4 linked regions of the Drosophila melanogaster genome follow. Changing the gene in region 2 together with the main gene of any one other region gives a genetic interaction. Each region holds a gene or a part of one and is shown on either strand. Other genes may lie near its edges.

Region 1 (4,167 bases), about 11 Mb from region 2:
TTTATTATAAATTGTTGTTTTTAGTGCCCAACTAGAATTGGGTTAGACAAAGCGACGATTGAGGCGGAATTCTTTAACAGGTTGTTTTGCGATTTATAGTTCAATTCACAAAAGGTCACTTAGTGAACTGATTTTTTGTCCTTAAAATCATATTGGTCATCTTATGTGTAGGCCAGCTTTTCAGAATTTGAATATCTAGTTTTATCCCACATACTGGTGGGTGTTAATATTTCTATTTCTATGTGGATATTTTAAGAGTGTTCCCTAGTAGCTAAATGATATACATCTGAGACTTTTAATTAATTAATTGCTGATTTCATGGTTTTAGTACAGAAAACCATGTGCTAAGATGTTTTTAAGCAACATCCTGAATCTATAACAATTGCGTTAAACTTTTTCATTCTGTTAAGAAGCTTTAAAGTTGAAATATTTTGAGCTCGATGCAACCAAATAATTCCTTAAATTTTGGAGGCACCGGATAAAAACATTTTGATCAACTTTTGTGTGTGAAAAATTAATTATCACCACGTGGCAACACTGTCAACGTGCTTTGATGCCATTTTTTCCCACTCGTTTTTGCCCAGAACTCCCCTCTTTTTTGTATGTTTTGTGGATGTCCAAACATTTTTTATGCTGTTTTGTTGTGTTTCTGTACTTTTTTTTTTTGCTTTTTGGAATACGCAACGGACAGACACACACATAGGGCCACACACGTATTTGAACACACACAGTCAGAGGCGAATCAGAAAAAGTACAAAAAAGCATTTTGGGAAAAGTGGAGTGAGGAGTGAGGCAGGGGATTGCATGGGCTTATTGCGATGCGTGACTCGTATTTGTGGACTTTGAATACAAACAAAACAGTCGGACACAGATAGAAGCCCACACAAGTGCAATTATGAATACTACGCCCACACACACGCCGCATAATCACAGAGAGAGACACTCTCACTCACTGCAATGTGTGCATTTCAATACGCATTAATAACTACGAATTCAATGTGGCAGTGGCAACCATCCTTAGTATTTCAGCCCAAAGCTCACACACACCTAAACCCACACCCTCAAATGCTCACGCACACATAGGCACACCGGCGTCAATGCAGCTGACGCCTAAAAAACGACTACAAAAAAGCATAAAAATCCAATTCCCCGCCTTGCTCGTTAATTTTGCTGGCGCTGCTCTTCAATTCACAGCCCAAAACTGAAAAGTGCCATGATAATTTTGTTTTTACTCTATCCAAACTTTAAAATCGCATAAAAATCAATGCCAATGATGCCATTAAATCAACAGACAGATCCATGTTTCGTTTTCCACAAAAGTTCCAAGCTCGAAGTCCCTTTAAATTCTAATTTTTGTGTTTTTTTAGCAGCACGTTTACTCAACATTTTCGCTTTCTGACGTTCCGGCCTCACATGAACTGCAGCATTTTTTCGTGCTACATTTTTGCTGGTTGCATTCTATGTCTGGTGGCCGCAAAACGGTTTTCCATGAATTTTTCATCCATTTAGCGGCGCCATTGAGCCATTTTCTGGGCGCTTAGAATTCATAGATACTTTAGCAAATTGTTTTTTTAGTTCGATTTTCTACATTCTTTTTGTTTTTAGGGATTTTTAGCTTTTGTATCGTGACATTGAATCTCGGTGTGATTGATTGTCTTTAACGATTTAATTGAATCGAAAATATAAAAAGATCACCACTGACTTGTTTATATGAAGAAGACAGGGCAAATATCTGTTATTGTTAGGCACAAAAAATGTTTATAATAATTTGATTCACTTTTTTTTTGTATTGAAAACAGCATTTTTGATATTTCTTAGTAACACCTTAGTCGCCCATTAAATTTCTGCGGAGCACCCTAGATGTGTGTATGAATTATCCAGAAATATTTACAAATGTACGACCCACAGTAGGCACTCTCTATGGGTGATCGAATTTTTGTGCTGCCAGAACTATTTAAGCTATCAGCTTTCACCCGATTCCAAATAAACCGTAAGAGTAAATAAACATTTCGGTCGAGTATTCGGAGAAGCGAGCCGATAACTTCTGCGTAGCTGACTCAAGCCGAAGTGGCCTCTCTTCGGAAATTGCCAACTGACCAGAACAGCTGAATCAATTCGCCAACTTTATGATTAGTGGCTCTGGGAGTCGGACGCCCTCAAATCGACTTTATTTGTCGCCCGTTCGCCCCACGATGCAGAACAAACGGAGGCTTCTGCGGGAGTACAGGTCCTACGATGACCTCAGCGAGCACTACCGCATGTTTGGATCGCAGTCCCTGGACTCGCTGCAGGATCGCGTGGACATGAATCCCAGTGGCTGCGATGGCTTATCCACGGACGGACTCGACTTCTGCTCGCAGTCCCACTCGGGGCTGCTGAGGGAGCACAATTTCAAGATTAAGTCCTACTACTACAACGTGGGGAACTGCGTACACTGCCGCAAAAGGTGAGTTGCAATCACCGAATGGTGGAACTTCTGAGAGGATTTCGAATTCAGGGAAAACATGAAAAGTTAAATAACATCCCAACCCTCTCTGACCAGCATTTACCTCCCTAACCGCGTGTCCCTGGTCTTCTTCCAGGATCCGCTTCGCCATGGCCAGCCTGAGGTGTCGGGCGTGTCCGCTCCGCTGCCACATCGGTTGCTGCCGCCAGCTGACGGTGAACTGCATCCCCCAGCCTCAAATCGGTACGAAGAGAGGATGTCTCAGCGATTATGCGCCTCGGGTGGCGCCCATGGTGCCGGCCTTAATTGTCCATTGTGTAACGGAGATCGAGGCGCGGGGATTGCAGCAGGAGGGACTCTACCGGGTGTCCTCCACCCGAGAGAAATGCAAACGACTGCGTCGGAAGCTGCTGCGTGGCAAGTCCACGCCGCATTTGGGCAATAAAGACACCCACACACTGTGCTGTTGTGTTAAGGACTTTCTTCGGCAGTTGGTTCACCCTCTGATTCCCATTTACCACCGAAGGGATTTCGAGGAGGCCACGCGGCACGAAGATCGTCTGGCTGTGGAGATGGCGGTATATTTAGCGGTTCTGGAGCTGCATCAGGCTCACAGGGATACGTTGGCCTACTTAATGCTTCACTGGCAGAAAATTGCCGAAAGTCCTGCTGTCCGCATGACGGTCAACAATCTTGCCGTGATCTTCGCTCCAACTCTGTTCGGAGATCTGGATCTAACCCTCGAAAATGTCGTCACTTGGCAGCGGGTGCTGAAGGTGCTACTTCTGATGCCTGCCGGATTTTGGTCTCAGTTCTTGGAGGTCCATCCCCTTCCCACTTCGTTGGGCAGCACCTATGACTTTGAGGACCGGTACAATCACCGTCACTGGGACAGCTCGTCCAATCTGGGATGGTCTTCTGTTAAGACCTACTTTAGATCAATGGTAAGACCTATGGTTTCCCTTTAACGGATTTGGATAGAATTTCATATTCGAATAAGCCAAACTCAATACAAGCAATCAAACATATCATACAAATCTTTCACTGAATACTTCCTGTTTCAGGTCAACCTTAGCAGTACTCACCTATAGTGAAAGTCTTATGACTGAGACATCGAGAATGGATGCAGTCACCCTTTTTTATTTTATTTTGTATTTTTTTTCATTATTCACTACAGTTGAAGAACTAATAATAATTGGATCTCTAACATGTTGTGTATGTGTTGTTGAATTATATGCGGCTAACAAGAGTACTTGACATCTCAAGTGCAATACTTGATTTATTGAATCACCAAAAGATACTCTCAGAAAACACCCATTATTTCCATATATGAAATTCGGCTAATTAAATATAAAGCCAGGCCAAAATCTTATTCGCACCACATAAATAATCTAGCATGGCCCAGAGCGACGTTATCGCAAAACTATATATTTCGAGTATTGAAACATTAATAAACATTTTTAATTGAATTTGCAATTTTTTTCGCCGAACGTTGATTAATTCCCAACCGTTGAAAACATGTAAAAAATTAATAATTTCCATTTCCCATATTTATGTTTCTTTGAAGCGTAAACCAAAGCACAAAGTAAAATATTTTGCCGCGAACACATATAAATAAGTTAAAGCGCCAAGAAAAAAGTTAGCATTTTAAAAACAATTTGGAGAGTGCCGTGCAAAAAAGTGCGGCCATTAAATGCAAAAAACAAGCAAAGCAAAACAAA
Region 2 (5,006 bases):
AAAAATATTTTTATTATAATACTAAAAACCATTTAATTAATAGAATATTACTTTAGTTTGTCTTAATTCAACTACAAATTTGTTCTCAGCGTATGACAGCTGAAAACAGAAAGATAAACGCGTTTCTGGCTGTCGAAACTCTTATTCCATTGCTGATAGCCTGCTCACGTGCAGTGTCTTCGGCTCGCAACACTCGCACACCCGCAACACTCGCACAGTCGCCGGCACACACACACACTGGCACACGAAGGGGAGCGATTGGATTTCCGGCGGAGATGAGAGCAAGCTACGTGGGCGGGGGGAGTGGCAGGTGGAGTCTGGGAGTGCCAGGAGCTGTATTTGGCCGCCAGCATTTTCCGATGTTGCCGCTTACTTTGTAAGTGTGCGTGTGTGTGCGTTTGTGTGTGTGTCTGGGCGGCTGACGTCATTGAGCTTTTTATTGATTTTCATTTTAACCAAAAAAAAAAAAGAAAAAACAAGAAGAAAACATACTTGGGCTAGGACGCAGGGCAGGAAGGCCAACAGATGTCATCCAAGAAAAGTCGAAATGCGCAATTAAAGAGAGAGAGAGAGAGACTGCAAAGGGGGCTTTCTCGAAGGAAGTTTTTGACAAGAATTTCTTGGGGCCAGCGAATGCTGTGTTGTAAGGTAATTACAAGGAAGAGATGCTTTACAATTTCTAAGAGTTAACTTTAGTTGATTTCAAGCTGCACGTGAATAAAAGCACTTCAAATACAAGTGAAAGCCCACAAACGTATTATGGTGTAATTTAATTTATTGTTTGCAAGCTCAACTGCGTAATCAGGCTGTTTATATAAGTGTACACATATAAACCTGATGTATTTTGATTTTTCTATTATTGTTTGTCAAACAATCGTTATGGCTGATTTTGTTATTTTTGTTGCCTGGTGAAAGCTATGGAAATTAGGTCTATTTGCACAGGCAATTAAAGACTGCCTGGTTTTGGATGAGCACAAATTTAAATTTAAGTTGAATTATAACATATTTTAAAAAAAAATTATAATTACTTAAGGCATTGGTTATCATAACAAAATATTGTGCTACATCACAAACAAAATGCATATTTGTTCGAAAGGGTGTTTTTAAAAAACTTCTACCTCTGTCATATAAATTTAATTAAAAAAAAGTATGTGATTTAATTGAAATTAAAAAAAAATTCTTTAAATTTATTTTACAACAATGATTTTAATACGTATTTATTTTAATAGAAAAATATACATATTTTTGAAAATCTACATCTACAACTAAAGCGACACCTGCCGGCGCGCCACTACAATTCAATTGTGCGGCGAATTAGAAACTTCGCTGTATTAGCCAAGGCAACCACCGGAAATAGTCATAAATTTAGCCGATTCAGCTACCATTGTACCAAAGTACGCCTTTCGTCTTCTCTAAAAACCTGCGCAGAATTAATACGCTTTCTATCTTTCGCTCTTCTACGGGATATGTCAAAGTGACAAGACCATTAAGGCAGACAATGTGAAAGCTATATAAGCGACAAGAGAGCGAAAAACAAACAGATAAAGATAAAGCCACCCCCAAAAAGCCGCCCCTTGCCGTAAAACACGGACCCCCACCAAATGGAAGACAGCCAAACAACCCCCGAAAAAGCAAGGAAAAAATTCAGGAAAAATACCTGAATGAGATTATGATGGGCCTTGAACGAAATGCAAGGGCCAGGGAAAATTGAGAATTTTATTTCAGGCGGGGGGTTAATATTAAGGAGATGCACCACCCACAACAAGCACTTAATAACAAATGTGTGCGTGTGTGTGGGCGCTCTCGCAGGACTTCCGTTCGCTCTTTTCTACGCTCTCTTGGATGCTTTTTGGATCTGCGCGCAGCAATCTCAACGAGATGGGGCGAAAATCTCTAATAAGGATGCCCGATGATGAAAAATTCATGGCCTGGCATCGCACGCATCCTGCGCTGGCTCCTGAGTAAACGAAAACACTCCGACTCAGTCACACGCAGCGAACACAGAGGCCAGCGATATATATAGTGAAAACCCCGAAAAATATAGCCAAATTGAGACCAATATCTGAAATTGTGCGATAAATAAAACGCTGCATACCCCGCAGGGCGCAGCCAACTTATTCCGAAGCCAAATCGAGAAATTCTTCGAAACGCGAGTGCCACCAAAAATTTATTGTTTCGAATTCGCAGCCAGTGATTGTATAATTTCCATTGCTTTGCTATTTTTACGGGTGTGGGCCGTCCAACGGCAGCGGCAAAGAGGATATATCTATCTACATATATCTTCCAGGATATACGGATTAACCCAATCTGCGCCAGAGATAATTACCGAAAATCGACAAATTCCCGGGCATAAAAACTTAATTGACTTGAATAAATAATTTCCAACCCGAGTTGTTGTTGTTTGTTCGCCTACGGTTTTTTTCGGTGAAAGCGAATGCGGGCCCAAAGCGGAATCGGAAAAAGTTACTGAAATACAACGGCAGGAAAAAAAAACGAATACATAGAGAAACTGCCGCTGCCGTTGCCGCCTGTGAAAGCAAAGAGAAGGGGGTGGAGAAGGAGCGTGGGCAAAAAGAGAGCGAGAGGAAGAAAGCGCGGAGGAGGTCGCGGAGTTGGAGAAAGGGGGCTCGAGGAGTAAGAGAAAGCAGCCATTACTGCGAAAGAGAGCCAGAGTCGGAAGAGAAAGTCCAAGAGACAACATCGCAATTTTGTGGAAGACATTCACAGTGGATGGAAAATTTATAAACAAAAGTTAAGCCCTTAAGAGAATGCTGACAAAATAAAAAAAAAACGCACGATAAATATATTTTAGAAATGTAACTTAAAAGAAAAGACTCATATCAACACATATCATTCTATAGTCTATAGAAAATATTAAATAACTAAATATACAACAACAAAAAAAGCTGAGACAAGCAGCTAAATAATTCCAGCAATTACCTAAAAACCAAAACGATATTTTATTGTCTTAAAAGAATAGAAACCAATGCGATAACCATACATATCATGTAAATCGTTTAATGCCAAAAGGTGAAATATGAAAAGTATATTAAATTAGCACATTTAAAAGAAATGTAATTCAAGAAATTAAAAAAATCTACGAATGGAAACGTAAACATATCATGTAAAACGCCTAAAAAGCTTGCTGAATCCCTAATCAAGCTTTTTTATCTTATCAACAAAATAAAAAACAAAACAAATGAACTAGCCTAAGGAGAGTTGTGCAAATTATCGCATACATATCAAAGCTCTTGCAAAGAGCAAATATAAATATTAAATTTACAATTATCTAAGATCTAGTTACCTTAGAAAATCCAAAAGAACAGTAATTTTTGTTAGAAGTTTTACATTAGTTGTCTCGAATATAACAAGAGAGAGATATATACATACAACAATATTGTCACATATCATTGAGGAAGCCTCAGCAAAAGTCTAAAACTATAACGACTAGAAAACATATCAATTAAATTAGACTGCGTGTTTATGAATGCTACGCGAAAATATTAATTACTTTATCAAGCGGACCAATTGCAAATGACGAGAAGACTTCATTGAATTCCAGACGACGGATTGAAAAATAACTAAAGTTCTTAAAAGGTAAGTTTTCACAATAATGAAACCATTAACTGAAAATGGTGGGCTTCTGTGGAATAAACGTAAAGGATTGTGTCATCTGAAACGATATATTAATATTAATTAGAAACAGAATATAACATTTTGCTATGATGTTTCCGTGCATTAGTCAACGGTAACGTTGTGGTGAAAATTGGCCTACACTAATTGACATTCTCTCTTTACGTCAAAGGGCTCTTAATTAGAAAATCAAATCCGAGAATGCTTTTGTGGTTTTGGCGAGCCGCCTCCCCACCAGATGTATTTCCATACGCCGAAAGCAATCATAAACTTTTAGCCCTAAGCGTGTGAGCTTAGGTAATCCACAAAACAGCCCAAAAATAAAACCGTTCGGGACCCCAACATTTTATGCGCCAATGGGTCTGGAGGGTATTCGTGTTTCGCTAAACCATAATGAGCCTGTCGAAGTGAAATTTGTTGCTGCAGCGCCTAGGATCATGCCACAAACATCTGCAAGCACCAACATACGGGACAAAATCAATAGGCGGCCATGTGTGTGTGTGCATGTGTGCGTGTGTAGGTAAACAGCTAGAAAAATCAACCGACACACACGCAAGAGGCGGTGGAAAAGCGAGTGTGTGTGGAAGGAGTGAGAGAGAGAGAGAGGGGATTTTCTCCTTCGTCTCCACGCGCGCTATTAAAATTTTCATTTTTATGATTATCGCTTGTGAAAATCCGCAACAATTGTGCCGGTTCACACGATGCAAAAGGGACTAAGCACACGACGCACAGGCAGGCAGCAGGACACCTACGATGATGAAGCCGCGAGCCAGGGAATACAGTGCGTATGCGTGTTATTTCTCCGCGACTGAGCAAATGTTTAACTTTGGGCATAAAATTAAATTTAATTTTCAATTATCGCGGCTGGCAACGGTTTGGTTTTGGCCTTGCAGGAACAACTGCACCCCACGGCGGAATAACGAAGCGATTAAAAAAAATGCTCCAACTGGCCGAGAACTGGAGTTTCAGTTGGCTCACCTTTTGGCCATTAGAGCTGTGGCCACTTTAAGGCCGCTCTCGCTGCAGCTGGCTCACTTTGGGGCATCAAAAATTCATCTTGCCGGCATCCAGAGCTCTCCATCAGCCAGCGGCCAGTAGCATCTGCTGACTTTTCGCCATTTCGCGCGCACTTTCCCATTTTCCCCGCACTCACTTTTTGCCATTTTCTTCTTGGCCTGGCCTTCCATCTCCACTGGCCAGTTCTGGCCGAATCCCCCTTGCGCTGCACACTTTCGGGCGCCAGCACCTAATGAGTGCAAAAATGAGCTTCGGGAAATGCTGAACGGCAGCAGCAACAAAGTGGCGCTGGGAACATGAAAGGACACTCTCCCAGTAGCCTTGGATATCATAATTACACTGAGCTCATCCTCAGT
Region 3 (4,928 bases), about 11 Mb from region 2:
TTGCTCGGTTTGGTGGTCTGGGCCCGAAACTCTGGTGCTGCTCTAAGTGCTCCATTGCGAAATTCTATGCTTCTAATCGCTGAAAATGTTGGAAAATGTTGGAAAATGCTGTCCGCACTGCAACATGTTCCGCAGTTTGTTTACTTTGCGCCTGTTCGCTGCATTTTTCAGCGCGTTTTAATGTTTTAATTGACAGGCAGCCGCCGTTGGCGTTGATTTCGCTGAATTGAGTTGGCTCCGGTTGGGTTTTTCCTTTTTCTGATTTCTCAGTTGTGATTTTTTTCTGGCAGTTCGCTTTTCCCCCTTTGATACCGCTGCGTTTCGCATTTCACAGCTTCAGTCGGCGGTTTCCTTTCTGGGATCCGCCAACGCCATTCCTTCGTGGAATATGGTTTTCCACCACCTCATTTTCACTTTAGTTTTTGGCAAGGGGGATAATTGCAACAGCTGCTGTCAGTTGGAATACAAATGGAATAATTAAGTCAGTTCTTTAACTTTAAGCATTTGCTTAAATTTTCATTTATAAATTGTTCGGAATGTTTTAAAATAGTGTTTATACTCATTAAGAGAAATAATTATGCGAAATAATTATCAATTAAACTATAACAAATGGCACACAACACAGCTATGTGTTTTATAATTCCTATTTTCGCAGCATATTTTATAGCTAGAATGGTAACTAAATAAAAAATATAAATAAAGTGCCCAATTATTTCTGCTCACTTTAATTATCTTTTTTTTTTTTTTTTGTTATTCACAAGCACTGCAAACAGCATACCGAATGGCACACAAATTCTAATTTAATAAATGCGCAAATGACCAACAACACTTCGGGCCAAAACACACTTTTAAGTGCTAGTGTGTGTATCTACACGCACTCACACTTTGGGCCAAGTCAATACCAAACTTGTTTCATTAATTAAAATGTTCGGTTAATTATTCAAATTGCACGTGCCAGCGTCAGCAACTTTTGCGCACAAAACTAAATTGTTTGCTTTTGGCAATGTGTTTGTGCTGAAACGTGATAAATAATACTCTAGATTGCTGAACTTTACAATTGGACATTGGCGCTTATTTGCATTTCAAGTTGGCCGCACTGCAAAGGTCAGTTAACCCGGTGGCTTTGCTTTAACCGAAGGATCAGCGGGCCGAAAGGACATATCATCCATTATGGATGCGGCGAATGCGAATTTTCAACTCCCTGCACTGGGCAGCAGCATACCGAAATTTTCGGCCATTGAAAATGACATTTGCGCCACATCACACCAGGTCTTGTTACGCTACACAGAGAAAAATATACTAAAAATATTATAGAATTTCATTTTATTATGAATTAATCTATTCATATTTGTTTGATATTTTTGATTTTTTTTATATATAAAATACACTATTTACAAAACTTTAACGCATCAAGTCATGCCATTATCATAGAGTTTAAAAATATAAGTAAGCTAAATATTTTATCAATTAATATCTATATATAATATATATATAATATGCAAGCTGGTAATGTGTTTCTTTCAGTGCATCCATCCTCCGGCCAATGCATGCGAAATTTACTTCAACCTAAAGTACGAAAAAAGTGGGCAAACGAAGGAAAACTGCCAGCCGCCTTAAACCGATGTGCCATGTAAATAGTGGAGCTTGTGGGCTCAGAGGGGGGGATGGAGCGGTGGCCCGAGGAGGGGTCGAAAAATCCACTTCATCGGCGACGGTTGGCGCGGAAAAGTGTGTCACCTGCAGGCGGGAAATGCGCAGGTCCTGTGAGAGGAAAAGCGGCTGCCGCCTGATGGTGACTTTTCCTCGCAGACTTTTCACCAACGCCACATTCGCATTTTCCACCAAGGCTGTGGGAAATTCGGCTCAGAACGTGGTCAGACGTCGAAGCGCGTGGTCGTCGAGTTTTCCGAGAAAATCCAGTGGGAAAGCAAACAGTGCGAGGCAGCAGCAGCAGCAGCAACAACAACTATCTAGAGCAAAGGAAATTGTGAGCAATTTGTATTTTAGTAGTATATTTCTTACGCGCGTGAGTGTGTGTGTGTGTGTGAGTCAGTGAATGAGTGTGTAAGTGTGTGAATGTGGTGATGAACCGAACAGCGTGCAACAAGAATAAAAAACGAATGCCCAAAAGTGCCAAACACAAACAACAACAAAAAAAACGAGATGAAAACAGAATATACATAAATGGCAAGCAAATATTTTTCTTCTTGAGCAGGGCAAAGAAAATCACAAACTGCAGCGTATCCATGCCCTCAAACCAAAAAAAAAAGAAAAACAAAAAAATAAAACGAAGAAAACAGTGAAAAGCAATCAAAGTAATAAACGAAAAGGGGGGAATGGCGAACCGAACTGAAAGCAAATCAAAAAAATCAATGCCCTTTCTGCGGAATTATACGTTGCGTATACGTGATATGTACCGAGGTAGCCAAGTCAAATAATAATAAAGGAAATTCTCACGTGACGCATAAAAAAGCCAAGCTCGCACACACACACAGCGATGGCAACAGTAACACGGCATGCCCCTCAAACATACGCACACAGCGGTAAACTTACTACCTGGGACACAAATTGAAGTTGGCGAAACATATTTGCGCAGCAAAGTTGCTACACGCAGCGAAAACTCGCTGCAGTAGTTTCAAATTGTGGGGGGAAACTGTGATAAACACAATTCATAACCAGAAAAGAGTTGAACTAATCAGAAATCTATAAAAGATCTTAAAGTTATGGCTATTTAAAAGCAATGTGGTGCCTAAAGTTGTGGTAGTGCCTAAAAGTAGGCAATGGAATTTGTCATTCGTGAAATGTGACTTGCTGCGTATGTATATAAGTATGATTTGTGTGAAATATCATCATAGCACTGATGAAATTCAAACATTTTCTCATCTTTTCTTGCAAAAGTGTCCCACTTTTCTCCGCCTGCATTTGGAAGGCACATGATTATGATGAGCTTGCCTCGCAAACTTGTTTCTTTTTTGAGGCTCGTGGCTCGAAAATGACAACAGCTGGATGGCCGAGTGGGTGGGTGGCGGAAGATTGCCTTTTGCCGCATTTGTTGCCGCTATTTTGCATACATTGAATTTAATGAACTGCCTGTGTGCGGTGTGTTGGATTTGCTTTTAATAATTTAGGCTGCGCGCGAACTAAATGGCGCTTTTAAAGTACGAACCGTCAGGCGACCCCAATATGGGCGACAAACGGGCGAGATGAGGCACAAATGAAAATATGAAAAAGGGCAGGGAAAACACGAACCATTTAATGCCCCTTCGCACCCTCGTTGCGCCTGTATGGATACGCTGTGAGCTGGTGTGTGTGTGCAACCCCAAGTCGGAAGGGCAGACATACTAACACACTTCAGCCGGAGGACTACGTCATCCTGGCCCAGAAGCTTTGGGGCCAGCAGCCCCCCCCGACAAAGCCAAGCCAAACCACTGCGAACCGAACCCAACCAAACCAAAGCGAACTTCGCTGGGAGCACAACTTTCCCTCGACGTCGCCACATTTTCGCATTCACAATCACATCGCGTGGCATATCCATAGGCGTAAGGATACGGCATAGGCACATGGTCTGGCCTCCACTCACACCATCACACTCGCCTTGCCACACATATACACACAGAGTTTGGCGAATGTGCACATGCACAGTATAGGTGAAGTTATAAGGACTCGAGTTGCGCTGCTCCTCCTTCGGATCGATTCCGGCTAACACAGACTTTGCGGCAGTTGCCGTTGCAAACACTTGAAGAAAAAGGGTGTAACTGTGATCACGAACAAGTCAGCTGCATTTAAAGAATCTTTCAGACTTGGAAGAAGTTAAAACCCTTGATTAGATTGAGATACATTTGCAAAGCTCAGAAGAAAGTAGTGGATAGTTATCTTCTATCTATTTAAAAACCTTTACTTGGTTACATTTTCCGATATTCTGTTTCTATATCATTCGCTTTAGGATCACCTTTCTTTCAGTGAACTAACTCCAATTGCAGTGGCAGTTACTTCGCTACTAGCTGCACGACAATCTGCATGCGGCATGACATCGCGCAGCCGAAGGATCTCGAGGATATATGTGGCTGGCAGGGGGGCGTTGCCGATGGAGACGTCATCAATTTCCATCCAGCCTATAAATACAACTAAAGTATATATGCCACAATGTGATGCCTTTGCGCCGGCGGCAAGTGTTGCAGTAAATTTCGAGGAGATCCGACTGCCGGCATGACCCTTGACCTTCGACTTGCACCATGTGGCATGCCCGTTTATGCTTCGATTTGCCGCCCTATACGCCATATCCACCCCACAGCCCCACGCCACCGCTCAGGCAAATGCAAAATCATTTGCCATCGAAATCGCATGTCGACCGGCAGAAATAAAACTGAAAAAAAAAGAAGTAGAAAGAGCAGACATGCCGTATAGCAAACCGAAAACCCAACCAGAAATCCTTGTCGCACAGTTTGCGTTTATAATTTATATACGACGTTCCCCGTACGAGGAGGCTTCTCTTGTTTTAGTTGCGCATTCGTCCTTGTCCCGGCCAAGTATCCGTATCCAAGGCGGACTCTCAATCGAAATCCGCATGGAGGAGGCCTTTAAGTGCGCCCGCTGGCATTTGGTGCTCCTCCCGTTTAGGCCGACAAGCTGCCCGCTTTATGGCTATTAAAAAATGCATTTAAATACACACCACGGCCTGCCATTTACCATATAAGCCATATACCATATAATCTTCGATGCGGCCTGCGTCTGTCTCCGGTTTTCGCTTCTCGGGCCTCTTCAGCTCCTCCTCAGCTCGAGTATGAGCTCCTTTGGGGCGTTGTTGAAAATTGAAATTGCGCGCTTATTTATGGAGCTCTGGCGGGGACGCTGGCGTTGATTGCCGTAACGCCCCATTGCCTGGTACATGACTATAATAATGATTGCCATTTTTATAGGCCAGCCAGCGC
Region 4 (6,661 bases), 4.1 Mb from region 2:
CGTCACCAGATGCCCGAAGGGCCTTCAAGTCACTCAGGTCGATCTCCTGGCCGCGGTAAAGATCATTCAGCCACGATTTGGCCGGCAGGAGGAGACTCTCCAGCTGCTCATGCCATATGAATATCTAGATCGTACCGCTTTCGATCCGAATGATCTCCTGTCCACCGGACGCCCAAGATGGTCTTGCCATCTGGTCGAAGGTAAGCCCAAGTCAGGCCTAACTACGGTGGCCGCTCAAATGGCTTTGAAAACAGACTGCCCTTTTATAAAATACATCTCGTCGGCCGAATTGCTGGGACTTAGCGATTCCGAAAAATGCCAGAGAATACGGGAAGTCTTGGAGGACGCCTATGTTTCCAGGCGCAGCTGCGTCATCATTGACGACTTTGAGCGTGTCATTGGTTACGGCGCCCTGGGTAAGCGGTACTCCAAGGAGTTCCTGCAGAAGCTGACGGTTCTTCTGAAGAAACAACCGCCCAACAGCCACGAGCTCATCATCATTTGCACAAGCAATCGTCTCGATGTCCTGGAGGAACTGGGCTTGCTATCCGTTTTCACTTCAGTTCACAATGTGCCAAATGTTTCCACGCCTAAAGAACTTATGGTCATAGTGGAAGCTTCAAAACGATTCGAGCCCGAGGAGCTACGCCAAATCGAGATCGCCATGGATGGCCGCAACGTCTCCATTGGCATCAAACGGTTGCTTGACTTGATTGCGTGGGTGAATTCCCTAAATCCCGACCGTCGAGCTGCCAAATTGCTGAAGAAATTGGGCGAAGCAATGGGATGGGTAGGGAACCATTCTAGTCCACTTGTACCTCAATACATTTAAGACGTTAGGTTAGGAAATGCAATATTGTATCTACAATTCCAGGAAAATAATTCCAAGTGATTCCAAATAATTCAGTAATGCTTTATATTTAAAAGAACCACGTAAGCATAAAAAAACCATCTAAAAAAATAATATTGCATTATTTTTTGGATGAACTTGCTTCCATTGCATTGCAATGTTCTTAAGACTAAAATGAACAGCCCGATAATGTGATTGCAAAGATACTAGATTATTATATTATATATATATTATATATACACCAGGCCAGACCTCTCAGTGGCCTTCGCCTGCTGTACGGAGAGCATTCCGTCCTCCAGGAGTTCGGTGACCGGTGGGCCCAACATCTCCTGGGCTGCTCCAAAGGCGGGCTTGATGTCGTTGTCCAATATATATATATATACATAATTATATATATAATATATATTATATATTATATATATATATTATATTGTTCTAGTGTCTTTGGTGATTGGCATAACAAGTTTTATTACCATATTATATATATATAAGTAAAAATAAAGATATTTGAATTGCAAATGCCACCCATTTTATCGTTATTTACTTAGAGGATTTGGCTTTTGATACAACACATTTTTTGGATTGTTTTCTTCACCAATCCTGGTGCTGCAGAGCTGCTTAGCAACAGCGAAGAAGTCTTGAATGCGGGGGATATATGTATTATTAGAAAATGCAAATGCGCGCCAATGAATTCAAATTTGCACTGCAGGTGCCGTAGCAGGCATCTTTTGCTCGCAATCACAGTGCATACACACACGCAATGCCGAACAGGGTTGCACTCCCTCAACGGGCTATCAGCTGTTTGAGACAATTTCGGGATTATATTATAAAATTGCTACGAAAATGTCAATTGAAAAAGCCCACCGGATGAGAGCGATCAAATGCCCAACGGATGAGCTGTCCCTGACGAACAAGGCGATTGTGAATGTGTCCGATTTCACGGAGGAGGTCAAGTGAGTGTTGGTTTTTGTTGTTTTTCCACTTCCTACGTGGGCGTACGAGCCTATGGAAACTTTCGCTTATGCTAATGACGCACCGCTTGATACCCTGCAGATATGTGGACATCTCGCCGGGCCCGGGGCTGCACTACATCTTCGCGCTGGAGAAGATCAGCGGGCCGGAGCTGCCGCTCGGCCACGTCGGATTCTCGCTGGTCCAGCGCAAGTGGGCCACGCTCTCCATCAACCAGGAAATAGACGTGCGGCCGTACCGATTCGATGCCAGCGCCGATATCATCACACTGGTCTCCTTCGAGACGGACTTCCTGCAGAAGAAGACCACCACGCAGGAGCCCTACGACTCCGACGAGATGGCCAAGGAGTTCCTCATGCAGTTCGCCGGAATGCCGCTGACCGTCGGCCAAACGCTCGTCTTTCAGGTAATGGTGTGGATGTGGCTCCCCCATAAATGTATGCAGTATAGAAAAATAGATAGCAAAGGACTGAAACTAAGGTAGTAATCTGGAGAGGATTAGTGATATATGCCAGAGCCAGTTAAAATACTACCCAATTCAATGAGGGTTCTCGGTTTATCTCGGACGCACCTATTCATTATTTCACCATTTATTGTGTGCACTTATAATAATTTTGGTTTTGTATAACTTTACAAAAAGATTTATACGTTCATAGCATAGCGGTAGTGAGAATATTCGTTATTTGTGTTATTCGATATTCGTTATTTTATATTTACTGACGTGTCTTGATTGTCATGAGATGCTGAATCTCATATTCCACATTTAGACGGTGACCTAATGCAAATATTAACAAGGTAGCTTACCTCCAACAATTAGAAACCCAAAGACACGTAACTCTCCCTTAGATCATCTTTTTGGCTCTCTGCCAAATCTTTTTTAATAATTCAGCATACAATGTCCCCCTTTTTTATGAACTAAAAATAGTGTGTTAGGCTGCCCTCATAGGAAATGCAACTATCTTAACATAGTAATTCTTCTAACATGCTCCTTAATGTACATATATCGTTCGTTTGCTAATAAGGATGTTTACCGCCTTTCAGTTCAAAGACAAGAAATTCCTGGGCCTCGCTGTAAAAACGCTGGAGGCAGTGGATCCCCGAACAGTGGGCGATTCCCTACCGAAGACTCGGAACGTACGATTCGGCCGCATCCTCGGTAACACGGTGGTGCAGTTCGAGAAGGCCGAAAACTCTGTGCTAAATCTGCAGGGTCGCTCCAAGGGTAAGATCGTGCGGCAGTCCATCATAAATCCGGACTGGGACTTTGGCAAGATGGGCATTGGTGGCCTAGACAAAGAGTTCAATGCGATTTTCCGACGCGCCTTCGCCTCTCGTGTTTTTCCGCCGGAACTTGTCGAACAACTGGGCATCAAGCACGTTAAGGGTATTCTGTTGTACGGACCACCAGGCACGGGAAAAACCCTGATGGCCCGGCAAATAGGTACCATGCTGAATGCCCGCGAACCCAAGATCGTGAATGGACCGCAGATCCTGGACAAGTACGTGGGTGAATCAGAAGCCAATATCCGGCGACTGTTTGCCGAGGCCGAGGAGGAGGAAAAGCGCTTGGGACCGAACAGTGGACTGCACATCATCATCTTCGACGAGATCGACGCCATTTGCAAGGCTCGCGGATCCGTGGCCGGTAATAGTGGTGTCCACGACACGGTCGTCAATCAACTGCTAGCCAAGATCGACGGCGTGGAGCAGTTGAACAACATCCTGGTAATAGGAATGACCAACCGGCGGGACATGATCGATGAGGCCCTGCTGCGACCTGGACGCTTGGAAGTGCAAATGGAGATCAGCTTGCCCAACGAGCAGGGTCGCGTCCAGATCCTGAATATCCACACCAAGCGGATGCGTGACTTTAACAAGATAGCTAGCGATGTGGACAACAATGAGATCGCGGCCAAGACAAAGAACTTCAGTGGCGCAGAGTTGGAGGGTCTGGTTAGAGCGGCCCAATCCACGGCCATGAATCGGTTAATAAAGGCGGACTCCAAGGTATATGATGCACAGCATGGCGTGAAAGCAAAGAAAGGGGGTTCTCTTAATTCACATTCGGATCGAAATGTTATTTTATTTATTTGGCGTATTCGCTTATTTCATTTATCTCTCGGTTTGCGTTTCGGGTTTCGTTTAATTTCGAGTAATTTGGTTTCGATAAACCAAGAAAGCGATTAACGTTCGACTGTTCCACTATTCTAAAATTACCATCATCATTTGCTTTTCTACGATCCAAGGTTCACGTGGACCCGGAGGCTATGGAAAAACTGCGTGTTACGCGAGCCGACTTTCTGCACGCATTGGACAACGACATCAAGCCCGCCTTTGGAGCAGCCCAGGAGATGCTGGAAAATCTGCTGGCACGCGGAATTATAAACTGGGGCCCACCGGTCACCGAACTCCTGGAGGACGGAATGCTCTCCGTACAGCAGGCGAAGGCCACTGAGAGCTCTGGCCTGGTGTCTGTTCTCATCGAAGGAGCTCCCAACTCCGGCAAATCAGCGCTGGCCGCTAATCTGGCCCAGTTGAGTGATTTCCCATTCGTTAAGGTCTGCTCCCCGGAAGATATGGTAGGATTTACGGAGTCAGCCAAGTGCCTGCACATCCGCAAGATCTTCGACGACGCCTATCGCTCCACATTGAGCTGCATTGTGGTGGACAATGTGGAGCGATTGCTAGACTACGGTCCAATTGGACCCAGGTACTCTAATCTCACGCTGCAGGCGCTATTGGTTCTACTGAAAAAGCAACCGCCAAAGGGTAGAAAACTGCTGATCCTGTGCACTTCCAGCCGGCGGGACGTTCTCGAGGAGATGGAAATGCTCTCGGCTTTCACGTCCGTCCTGCATGTGTCCAATCTCTCAACTCCCGAGAACGTGCTTGCCGTGCTGGATGATTCTGATTTGTTTAGTCCCGAGGAGCTGCAGAGCATTGCCAGGAAAATGGCGGGTAAGCGATTGTGTATCGGCATCAAGAAGCTGCTGGCTCTCATCGATATGATCCGGCAATCGGAGCCTCACCAGCGGGTTATCAAGTTCCTCAGCAAAATGGAGGAGGAGGGCGGTCTGGAAATGGATAGGGTGCAAGGGCACTAGCTACGCCTTTAAATTAATTTACATTCCATTATCAAACAGCAGAGTGGTTCGATTTGATTGATTCAAACTGGAAAAACGGTTATGTGTTTACAATTAAAAATATATATATATGTATTAAAACAAAAAACCGTTACAAAAATACTTATAACCTTTTGGGAAAAAAGTACAACGTAATATAATATAATAATATATTCCCATATTTCAAAATATCTTACTTGCAGAGTGGGTTTCTATAAAATTCTATACTTTCGTGAAACTTTGAAATTAGTTGCCTTCAAGCCTAATACACAGAACCGGTGACCACTTTTATTGTTTATTAGGAAGTGTATAATTTTATAAACTCATATTCTGCAAATCGAAGAAATCGACCCACCCTAGTGCAATTTTATGATTGTGTTTTTTTTCCCGCTATCAAAAGGGAATCACAATGATAGGTTTCAGCTGCAATATAATATTCTAACGCTATACTTCGCTTAAGTTCCACTAAAAAAAAAAAAATATAATAAAGCGTAACTGAAGACCAACTTGTGAGATAAAGTCAAGTAATTTGTAAGTTTTGAATTTGATGATACCAACGAACTTAAAGTACTCGCATTAGCGACTAAGGATAATCCGTCGGTGTCCACCATGAAAATCTCAGTTTGAGTGCACAGACTTACATAGAGAATTTGATACCAACATGATGTATTTTATAAGGATTTTACGGATATTGCATTTACCATGATAAATAAAAAAGACAAAAATCCGATGATGCAGCCCTAATAGATTGATCTTTTAAATCAAAATTGAATTAAGATGCTTAAGCGTTATACCGATACTTAAGAACTATAATTCTGAAAGTTATTTTACAGAGCGCACAGTTTTGAATACGTGTGATTTTTATTTACATGACTTTTTACCAAAAACGAAAACAAATCATTTTTGTTATATTTTTCTTTACATCCATAAGTGAGATCACTTTGGGTTTGAAAACTAGCTAAAGAAGGTGCATGTCTTAGCTACAATTTCTGAATTTCGATCGAAGCTTTTCGAAAAACACGAAATATATGTGAATCATTTGTAAATGGATATGTCTTTTATGGATAAACTTGATGTGTACCAACGGGATAACAAACTAATTTATGTAATTTACCCAATAGCTAAAAATAAATGGAGTTTTCCCAAAGACTATGGTCTTTTTAATAAGAACGGCTGAAACGATCTTTAGTCAAAAATATATATAATGCAAATTGATTGATTGCCTTTTCTTTTCGTTCCAGGACACATTAGTTCCCTTGGTAGTTTCGGAGTGTAGCAGCTTGAATTCTTTGAAAACTCCTATTTATTTAAATATTGTTTTTTCTCGGCGATCGCCGCCCGACAGCTGTCCGCTTGGAAGGCGTCAAGTGGTTATCATACCATGTACTCACCCGATCCGATCCGATCAGTCCGATCCATCGATCAGCTGTTCGCGACAAGATCCGACGCCGGAACCCAATCAGAGCAGTGGTCAGCTTGGCCGAGGTGCTGACCACAGCCAGTCGGTCGGCGTAATATGCAATTTGAATAAATGATTTATAATGAAAACACCTTAGCGGCGCGTCGTCTGCGTATACGTAATGTGGAGCGGAGTGGAGTGCCACACTGCTCGGTAATTGATATATGGCGCTAATTGCGCTCGACGCCCATTTGTGGTCCAGTCCAGCTTTATCAGCGGCAGTCGTCTGAGGAATCCTGGGTAGCCATAGCCATAGCC

What was found.
Region 1: of cpo (region 2) and RacGAP84C, changing one enhances a phenotype caused by changing the other (phenotypic enhancement), as found in Drosophila melanogaster (one study listed by BioGRID).
Region 3: of cpo (region 2) and jus, changing one enhances a phenotype caused by changing the other (phenotypic enhancement), as found in Drosophila melanogaster (2 studies listed by BioGRID).
Region 4: of cpo (region 2) and Nsf2, changing one suppresses a phenotype caused by changing the other (phenotypic suppression), as found in Drosophila melanogaster (one study listed by BioGRID).

What each region holds. Positions count from the first base shown.
Region 1 is NT_033777.3:7,283,979-7,288,145, forward strand, and holds RacGAP84C (Rac GTPase activating protein at 84C), read left to right. Parts: upstream 1-1,983; 5' UTR 1,984-2,126; coding exon 2,127-2,446; intron 2,447-2,582; coding exon 2,583-3,390; coding exon of another isoform or gene 3,391-3,414; exon of another isoform or gene 3,415-3,473; intron 3,474-3,510; coding exon 3,511-3,537; 3' UTR 3,538-3,651; downstream 3,652-4,167.
Region 2 is NT_033777.3:17,917,873-17,922,878, forward strand, and holds the start of cpo (couch potato), read left to right. Parts: upstream 1-1,959; 5' UTR 1,960-3,597; intron 3,598-5,006. UniProt on the Drosophila melanogaster protein: May play a role in the development or function of the peripheral nervous system by regulating the processing of nervous system-specific transcripts.
Region 3 is NT_033777.3:29,191,947-29,196,874, reverse strand, and holds the start of jus (julius seizure), read left to right. Parts: upstream 1-1,881; 5' UTR 1,882-1,987; intron 1,988-4,928.
Region 4 is NT_033777.3:13,832,945-13,839,605, reverse strand, and holds Nsf2 (N-ethylmaleimide-sensitive factor 2), read left to right. Parts: upstream 1-1,614; 5' UTR 1,615-1,693; coding exon 1,694-1,803; intron 1,804-1,903; coding exon 1,904-2,228; intron 2,229-2,863; coding exon 2,864-3,829; intron 3,830-4,068; coding exon 4,069-4,926; 3' UTR 4,927-6,109; downstream 6,110-6,661. Other genes in the region: CG31495 (uncharacterized protein), read left to right, coding at 1-832. UniProt on the Drosophila melanogaster protein: Required for vesicle-mediated transport. Catalyzes the fusion of transport vesicles within the Golgi cisternae. Is also required for transport from the endoplasmic reticulum to the Golgi stack.